Linked DNA regions of Caenorhabditis elegans. The protein of the gene in region 2 interacts with the protein of the main gene of each other region in a pairwise test. Each region holds a gene or a part of one and is shown on either strand. Other genes may lie near its edges.

Evidence for each region. Proteins that work in one complex are often made in the same cells at the same time.
Region 1: the proteins of ZK858.2 (region 2) and nphp-1 interact in a two-hybrid assay, tested with the Caenorhabditis elegans proteins (one large-scale study listed by BioGRID).

The regions. Positions count from the first base shown.
Region 1 is NC_003280.10:10,648,361-10,654,239, reverse strand, and holds nphp-1 (Nephrocystin-1-like protein), read left to right. Parts: upstream 1-1,983; 5' UTR 1,984-2,010; coding exon 2,011-2,079; intron 2,080-2,601; coding exon 2,602-2,700; intron 2,701-2,953; coding exon 2,954-3,096; intron 3,097-3,152; coding exon 3,153-3,681; intron 3,682-3,731; coding exon 3,732-3,962; intron 3,963-4,140; coding exon 4,141-4,640; intron 4,641-4,718; coding exon 4,719-4,831; intron 4,832-4,876; coding exon 4,877-5,112; intron 5,113-5,173; coding exon 5,174-5,302; 3' UTR 5,303-5,347; downstream 5,348-5,879. Other genes in the region: lact-3 (Beta-lactamase-related domain-containing protein), read left to right, coding at 340-403, 603-740, 1,476-1,661; M28.10 (Flo11 domain-containing protein), read right to left, coding at 5,717-5,879. UniProt on the Caenorhabditis elegans protein: Plays a role in the extension of dendrites from phasmid ciliated sensory neurons. May be necessary for initial assembly of the cilium.
Region 2 is NC_003279.8:9,122,657-9,126,098, forward strand, and holds ZK858.2 (uncharacterized protein), read right to left. Parts: upstream 1,817-3,442; 5' UTR 1,786-1,816; coding exon 1,688-1,785; intron 1,532-1,687; coding exon 1,460-1,531; intron 1,275-1,459; coding exon 1,047-1,274; intron 960-1,046; coding exon 686-959; intron 640-685; coding exon 544-639; 3' UTR 526-543; downstream 1-525. Other genes in the region: ZK858.8 (t-SNARE coiled-coil homology domain-containing protein), read left to right, coding at 2,072-2,196, 2,669-2,798, 2,851-2,959, 3,029-3,273, 3,320-3,430.

The sequences.
Region 1 (5,879 bases), on a different chromosome or scaffold from region 2:
TTTTGTATATTTACGCAAAAAATTCTGTTACCCAGATCCGAAACTTTGCTATTTTCCCCCAAAAAATACACTACCAGGTCTCGAAGCGGCCGATTTTCTCCAATGCCAAAATTTAAGGATTACTGTAGTTTCCAAATCCTCGCTTCTTTTTGGATTTTTTACGATGTTGCATGTGAAAGTATAAAAAAATAAATGAAATGTTTTAAAATGAGAATTCAGAAACTGCCGTACTCCTTAAAAGTCGCTTCGAGACCTATTGTCATAGTTTTGAGACAAAATCTCGCATCTGACCAATATTTTATGCTATTTCATTTTTTAAAATTCATGTTTTTTTTCCAGATTGGAGCAAGCTGCCGCACTTGGAATGGGAAATGCTCGTTCTCTTGCCTCACTTTTTGACAAGGTTTGTTCTCGTTTTTTTGATAAATTTATGAGAATTTTAAGTTTTTTTTCGTTTTGTTTGAACATCGTTATCAGCTGAAACTAGGCTGATAGCGAAGAAAAGAAATTTTTAAGTCGAACAAAAAAAAAGAAAAAGGAAATTTCCTTGTGACTGTTTAAAAAAACTGAAACAAAAACGATAGTTAAGAGGATTGTTTCAGGTAAATCGAGGAAAACTTCTCAATCAGGCTACACTGAACACGATAAGCAAACCGTTCGTCAACGAGAGTGATTTCATTTTTGATGATACTGTCGCCAAGGGACACGGATTTTTCCATTTGCCCATTCATAGAGCTGGGGTGAGATTTTGAATAATCGAAAGAGGGACGAGGGATGATGGAAATTTTGAACTGAAAAATTTTAAAAAATCCATTTTCACAATAAAAAAACCAAAAAAACCAACAAAAGTCTGAAAAAACTCTTAAAGAACGAAAAAGTCAAAATTCATCCAATAAAGCAGATTTTTTAATTTTTGCCAAAAAAAACTTTTAAAAAATCCATTTTTGCGAAAAAAAAAACCACTGTCCTTTTTCCCATAAAAAATTCAAAAAAATCAATTTTTCTCAAAAAAACCCGAAAAGTACCTTTTTGCTAAATAAACATAAATTAACAAAAATTAACAAAAATTAACAAAAATAACAAAAATTAACAAAATTAAAAATAAATTAAATAAATAAACATAAAACATAAACAGCCAAAAATTAATTTTTGCATTAAAAAAGACTGAAAAATCCATTTTTGTAATAAAATTACAACTGCCGAAAAAAGCAAAAAAAAAAAAATTTTGAAACCCCCAAAAAATTAGCAAAGGACCAAAAAAAAAGAGCCCAGGTGGTGAACAGAAAACGAAAAAACAGGAGAAATTGTTGAAAAACCATTAATTTCGAATTCATTCAAAAAATGAAAATGCATAGAAAAAATATTTAAAACCCTAAATTTAGCTAAAGAACCTGCAAAATGTTAGGAGCGTTTTTTTATTTAATTTTCAGTGAATTTTTTTAATATTTTTCTTTCATAATTCGCCATATTTTCAGACTCAATTCGGCTTCGGACATACCGGGCACGGATGCCAAATGGTCATCACAGATCTCAAGAATCGAGTGACAATTGCCTACGTCACAAATGGGTTGAAAACGGGACTCTACGACTTGTGCAGGACGTACTGGGGACTTCAGACTTCTGTATATGATGTCATCGAACAAATTAATATTCAATCATAATTTATTTTATTTCATTTTTTAATTAGTGATTCCATATAGTTTTAAGATATATCCCAAATCATCCCGCGTGTTCTTTGTACAGTCCGTTTTTAATTCATTCATTCCAAGTGTCGTTCTCTCAATGTTGAAGCTTCTTCCCCCGTAATTAACTGACCGAGTGACCCCACAAAATTGCATATTTATCTGCTCTCTCTCGATTTCCTTACTAATAAACCATCAGTTCACCAGTTTTTAACCACATTTGCGGGGAGCTGGCAGGTGGTAACCCGCAAGTTGCCAGGGGCAACGAGGGTGGCTTAAGGCAAGTGGCCGCGCGGAAAAGAGCTTTCCAGGGGGAGAGGAAAGCAGGATGTCCATATTTGGAAGCATTCTAAGTCTGCAGGATGCCATAAATCGATTTCCGCAGTTTGAATATCAGGTGGGGAATATTAATTGTTAACACGAATTTGAAAAGGAATTCGATTTTTTTCAATTTTTGGATTTTTTTGTAATTTATTTAAAAATTATTATTGTGAATTTTTTAATTTTTCCATTACACATTATTAAATAACTAAAAATTGAATTCGTGGTTTATTGTTCATTTCCAACTAAAAAAATCCCTTCAATACCCAAAAAGTTGCAGTGGGGCGCATTTTCAACGTTTTAATTAAATTTCAAACGTATAATTAAAACTGAGTCTCGTCACAACAGATTTTTGTTAAATGCGGAAAGGTGTGCGTCTTTAAAGAGTACTGTAATTCAAAATTCCAGAATTTTTTTTAAATTTAATGTACATATTTTCATCTAAAAACTATTAAAAAACTAAAAAATTCCTCTGCAACGAAAGTTTGGAATTACAGTACTCTTTAAAGGCACACAACTTTTCGCATTCGACAAAAATTGTCGTGTCTAGACCGTAAACCGTATTTTCAAGGAAAAATAGCAAAAGCCTTTTTTTCAGATAAATCGCCTCGAAAAAGAGCAAAAAGACACCGAAGCCGCGTCGAGAGCAAGTTTTCGCAAACATTTTGTCAGACAGTGCCAGGAATTGCATAGACAGGTAAAAATTGCATTTTCTCTATCTGCCTTATGCCTGGCTGCCTACGGGCCTACCTACCGCCCATTATGGGATCTCCGGTTTGATTCATAGATTTTAGGTCGACCAACTTTCTATTTAATTTCAATTAATTGTTTACAAACATTGAAAAATTGTTAGGCATATGTGTAGACCGTAGGCACTCTGGTAGGTAGGCATTCTCGTGCCTACGTAGAAGTATCATTCAAGGATATCAACATATGCATACAGTTTGCAGCTCGACGATCACCGAAATCGAATTGAAAAGGCCAAAACTGACGAGACCTACAAGAAAGAAAACGCTCTAGAGCAACTTGACAAGTTGAAGCAAAGATTGACAGCTTTGAGCCCGGAAAAGGAGCAATTATCGTTTTCTGTCAGGTAAAATTATAATTAAATTCAATTTCTCTAATAAATAGTTAAATATTCAATTCCAGTGTGGACTCTCAATCAGAAGAAGAAAAACCGAAAATGGCTGCAATTGGCCGCCGAAAAAGCACAATGTATAACGATGATGAATCAGAAGATTCTGATAATGATTCAGAAATTATTGAGACGGATGTTCAGCTGGATGATCCTCTTCCGAGTCAGCCACAGCCTCCACAGCAACAGCACCAGCAACCTCAACCAAAACCCAGACAACCTATCACAATTACAAAACCTCTTGAATCAAAGACTTTGAATGAACGTCAAGAACTTGATGAAGTCATCTCAAGGCTTCAGAATCCGAGTCGTGGAGATTCTGGAGAAGTTATGGAACCAGTTGTAGTCCGTGGCAATGTTTTTGTTGCAATTGACAGTTGGGATGCAGAAGCTGAAGGGGATTTGGAGTTAATCAAAGGAAAGAAGTATCGAATCACACAGACAAGATCCGATGGTTGGTGGACTGCACTGGATGAATATGGTCAGAGGGGTCTTGTGCCAAAGACTTATTTACAACATGTTAAGGAAAAGCCGAAGAATGTGGTTTGTTACTTTTCTCTAGTATCGTTAGTTTAATAAGTAGAAATTTTCAGCCATCAAAAGTGTCTAGTCGCCTCGGAGTTCGAGATTCGGTGATCGGAATATCTACGACTACTGATCCATCAAGACGAGAAGCAAACCGGCAGGCATCTCGAGTTGATGACTGTCTTGGTAAAGCATATGACAATGACACTCACTTGTCACTAGTGTGCCATATGGCTCCGAGACTATCAACTTCAAATATTGGATTTCATGATCTTTTTTGGAGTCATTACAAGGATCAGGTAAAAGTTTAAAACTTGCAGTTTCTACCCAAAAAATGCTACAGTTTTGCCAAAAAACCTCTGAGTCTTCCTAAAAACGGCTGAGAAAATTGCTTTAAAAATTTTTACTATGAATCATTTGCTACTCATAGCAACACATTTTTTGCTCACTTTCATAAATCAACTATATTTTTTGCAGGTTTACAAGCGAACTGTCCATATATCAAAAATTATCCGTCTAGTTCGATTTGAAAAGATGCCCCTAATCGAACACAAGGCACTTGTCAGAATGGCTCTTGTCGACATCACAAATCCAAAATCCACTCAAATTGTGAGCAACGTGCACACTCTTGTGCCACGTGTCAAATCTTCAACGTGGTACTTTGAGAAAAAAGAGAGCCAGACGAGAAGCTGCATCGAGTTTTCTGATTTTGTTCTCCGCTCAAACTATCGATCTCCGACAGTGGTACTTGTTGTGGAAGCATCTCATTTGGTGAAGACACAAATAGGAATTGAGGAAAAGAGTTTGGGACATACATATCTGCGACTGATAATTGATGATAAAGCAGTGCCAAGTAGAACGAATGTTTTGTATTTGGATGATGAAGTGATGACAAAAATGAAGTTGCCGGAAGCTTCGAAAAGAAGAGTTCTGGTTCAAGTGATGGATGTTCCCAAGGATAAGGTTTCATATGTGGAGTGAGTTTTGGAAACTAAGAAAGCTGAAAATCTGGATCCCTGACCTGACTTTAAGTTCAACCCAAATTATTTTTCCAGCTCCCTCCCCGATGTCATAGTATTCAATGCTCTTTATTTACCATTCTTCCACTTTTACCGCCGACGAGCTGGAACCATTTTAATTCGGGACAATCGGAATCCATTGAGTGCTGGTAGGATTTCATACCCACCCAAACAATATTTTGAACTAATTTCAGAATTTATATCTGACCCACTTCTCTCTGTATTCCCATTTGTTTGTGACCAGCATGACATTATGGATATAATGCTGAAAATTTGGAAAACCAAAAAGAAAGTGCTCGCCAAGAAAAACGAAGCTGAACAAACTGCCGAGTTCTTCCAAACTTTTCTACACACCGCGTTTTTTATTCATGGGATTCGAATGATTTCGTATGATGTCAAAGATGATCTTACTCTTTCGATTAGGCAACAGGTAGAGCTGCTGCTCTTGGAGCTCGTTTCAAAATCAGGCTTCGATTATTGTAACATTTCAGACTATGCAACGATTTGTGGATGCATTGAATAAGGGACTTTTCAAGCAGTTCATCGCAGATCAACAATGCAAACCAATCAATATTATCGATTATTCATTGGATCTTTTAGGCAATCATTCTATTGACTAATTTATGGAGATAAAATTAAGCTCAATAAAAAATTTAACTGTGTAATAAGTTCTACTCATCTAGCATCTAAGCATAGAAATGTTTCAGTCATTGTTTCAGTAAATTTCAAGTTTTGAAATTTTTGGTTTTGAAATTTTTGGTTTTTTTGTTTAATATTTGAATAATTTAGAGTCGACTCCCAAACATAGGAGTGGTAAAACTGAGCAATGGCCATTTTTCAGTTGTAAATTTTCACACTGTACCCTCTCAAAAAATGGATTTGAAATGAAATATGTTTATTCGCAATAATGAATAAAATTGGGCGATTTTTCAGAATCACAGCCTCATCGAATTTATTCCATTAAGGGGTTTTATTACATCATGAAATTCTGCGAGCTGACGATCAGGATGTGGTTCTGAGAAATCTAAGAGTTCCTAAACTGGCTTGCCGCTGATTACAGTAGCGGCAGCGGAAGAAGCTTCAGGTGCGGCGGTAGAGGCCTCGGAAGAAGCAGCGGTTGATACCACAGAAGCTCCACTTGCAGTAGTATCTCCACCAGCTGTGGATGCAACGGATGCATCGGTTGCTCCAGAGACA
Region 2 (3,442 bases):
GTGCTAGGTGTTCTGGCTTGGAAATAATAATATCAGTTCTAATTATTATGAACTGATACTATAATTCCCAAACCGCTTTGTTCTTTCCCTCATTTTTTCTAGTGTATCAGAATATCATTCATTGGTCTTCATGTTTTGTGTTCTTTCTCTCCCAGCTCTCTTAATTCCAGGTCCTCTATCGTGTATTGGAACTGTAACACTTTCGGTTTTCGCGTCTTCGTCGTCGCTCCCCAAAAACGCACACTGAATAATCAAATCGGGTTCTCTATCAATCATCATGCTCCTCTCTTCCGTTCATTCTTTTCATTTCCATGAGCTCTTTCTTTCGGTTTTCATTACTTCTTTGCCCTAAACATTCACAAACACGCACACATTCTTCATTAGGTTTCGTTTTATTTCCAACATTCTTTCCTGCTCCGCCTTCACCCTTTGCCAAAAAAATGGCTTTTATTGAAGTATTATGTGTGTGCAAGTGTTTCTCTGTAATTATTTGATGACTACCGCTTCTCTTAAATAAATAATTCTCTGTATTTTTCGAATTTATTAATCTTGAATGAGACTCAAAATCAGTTCGATTCGTTCCCATTTGTTCTGTTTATTGAGCTTCTCATTCTCCAAGTCTTCCAAGACTTTGTCAATCTGAAAAATACACTTTTACACGGATCCTTCAATGCTTTAAACTTACATAATCCGATTCACAACTCATTAGTCGAATATTCCATTCAATAAAATCAAGTGCTTCCAAAATTTCATTCTCATTTTCTACTGCCATTTGAGCAATTCCAATCGACTCGAGACGATTAAATTCCCGTAATTTCGCACAATTCGATGAATTTGATGGAATTATTGTTGAGTTTATTGTTTCTGTACACGCAGGTGAGTTATTCAGAATTTCAGAAATAATTTTCTGAAAAGCATTCGAACTCACTGGTTCCATGGCTGTCGAAGTGTTGTCGATTCTGTAATGAATAAATTATTTTTCTTATAAACACACGGTTCGTAATTTTGATCGTGTTGAGACCGGCTACCGTAATCTGGAAGCTCACCGTTTGCTACGTGGCAATGTTTGTGGAGTATTCATTTGAATTTCAGTTCGATTAGCTGTTATCATTGAAAGTCGACGACGAACACTATTGAATACGGAACGAGATGCTTGACGAGTTCGAACACGTCTTATACGATTGACACGTACAATTTCTCTTGAGATCGATCTTGCATCAACTGGAGTTATTAACACTGGAGTCGAAATGTGATATGGAGTTGTGACAAGTTCTCTGAAGATTTATATTCATTTTTCTGATTTAATTGAATTATATAACATTTAGGAAACATCGATAGAAAATCAAATATTTATATCGTCATTTCGAGAAAGTTTAATAAAATATTTAAAGGCACACGCGGTTTTTCTGTGTGAGTCTCGCCACGATCTTAGGAATAGTGTTTGCTATTATATATATACCTGATTGGCATGAAATCTGTTGGAGAAACAGTAACAGGAGTTGCGACTTCGAGTGGACTTGAAATTATGTCTCTGAAATCACCATAAGATTTAGAAAACAAGTACCGTATATCAGAAACCCCTTACAGTAACCCAATTCAGACAACACTTCTTGTAATCACAAAAAAAGATATGTATATTGTCAGAATTTTCGCAGTTATGTACACTGGATGTTTCGATATAATTTACCTTGGATATGGAAGTGGTCGTCGAATTGCAACGGGTGGCGTTGCCAACAGAGACATTTGACTAGAATCAGATTCAGAAGCTGAACTTGGAGAAGACATTGATAGTGATGGTTAGTTGAATAAGATTGTTAAAATTGAAATAAATTGTTTTCAACTTTTTATGAACTATTTTGTTTTCTAAAATTGTTTTTTTTGCGTTCTGGTCAGGGCGTAGGAAATGTAATATTTAATTGTAATATATAATAAAATTAGAACTGAAAAAATTTGTTCTACGTGAAATCCTATTTACATTATAACTTATTCCAGTTGTTATCAATCACTATAATCGAATGTCGAATATTTTTTAAATCATTTCAATAAACTCGATAATCTCTGACGTTCCGTCATGAATCCAATTTGGAATCCCGAATTCCATCAATTTATGATGAATAATCAACAAAGAGCTCAAGCTGGTGGAAATCGACAATTTCAAGCAGTTCAACCGCAAATTAGACAAAATCAAGTCGTGGAGTAAGTGACCTAAGTATGAAGCAATAATATTATGTGTCTCAGTTATACATATCTTCCTCGATGAGCTTCAAGGAAAACGTTATATGGTCTCACCGCGAGCAACGCGCCTGTAAGGTTACTGTAGAAATGCGCATATTTTATGTCTGGTGTTCTGAATAATTCATCGCAATTTCAGACGAAAACATTACGATACCAAATACTAGTTAAAAACATTCTTTAAAAAATTAAACAATTTAATAAAAAAGAAAAATAATTCGATACCATAATTACAGTAACCTTGAAGGCGCGAACAAATACAGATTTTTGTGACTTCCGGGTGCGGCGGGACCATTTGGAATACATCCCTTGAGACTTATAGGGTTATGTTAAGGCAGGGGTACTGTAGTCTTACTTAAACATTTCACCGAAAATATAAGATTATTTAAAAGTTGTTGGAGAAAAATCACAAATATTGACTGAGCTCCTTCTTCAGCAGAAACATACAGCCCCCCCGACGTCACAATGCTCCGGCTCCGAATCAAAATCGTAGAAACCACCAGCAACGTCATAACAATATGAATATGCCAAGAAGAGGCAATCTTAATATTCAGAGAGATGTAATGGTGAGAAGTTGTTTTTTCTTTGTTCAAATTGTAATGTTTCGAGTTTTTGTAGTCAAGAGATGAACTGGAAAGAATTGAGACAATGACACGTAAGAATTATCAAACAAGAACTGCTGTAGAGTACGATAATCGAGAGAATCAATGTTGGACAAATATTTTAGGTCGGTCTGTCTCGTTTTAGAAAAAATTTCAAAAAAAAATCCATCTGCATTTAAAAGTTAATTTTTCAGAAAACATTGAGCAACAAACGCATCAATTCTCGCATTCCACGTCTGATCATAATTTCAATGGCGGCGATATTTTCATTCCAAACGAGGAGAGCATCCGTTCGACACTTCGTGCTGAAAATCAAGCTGAAACAATTCTGGCGACACGAGACTTGCTTCTTAATTTCGGTGCCACGGAGCAAGAGTTGAGCGGAGCGCTTGCCACGTTGGAAATTCACTTGAGAACCAACGCGGCTGAATTCAATACTGTAAGTTGAAGTTTTTGCAGTGATCTACTTATTGAAACTTTTCCAGATTGATGATCTATCCAACGAACTAATTAAAACTGCCGGACAATTGACGACGGAAATCGACGAACTTGATGATATTTTAAGCCGCATTGATAGACTTCGTATTCAGAAATAGATGACTACATAA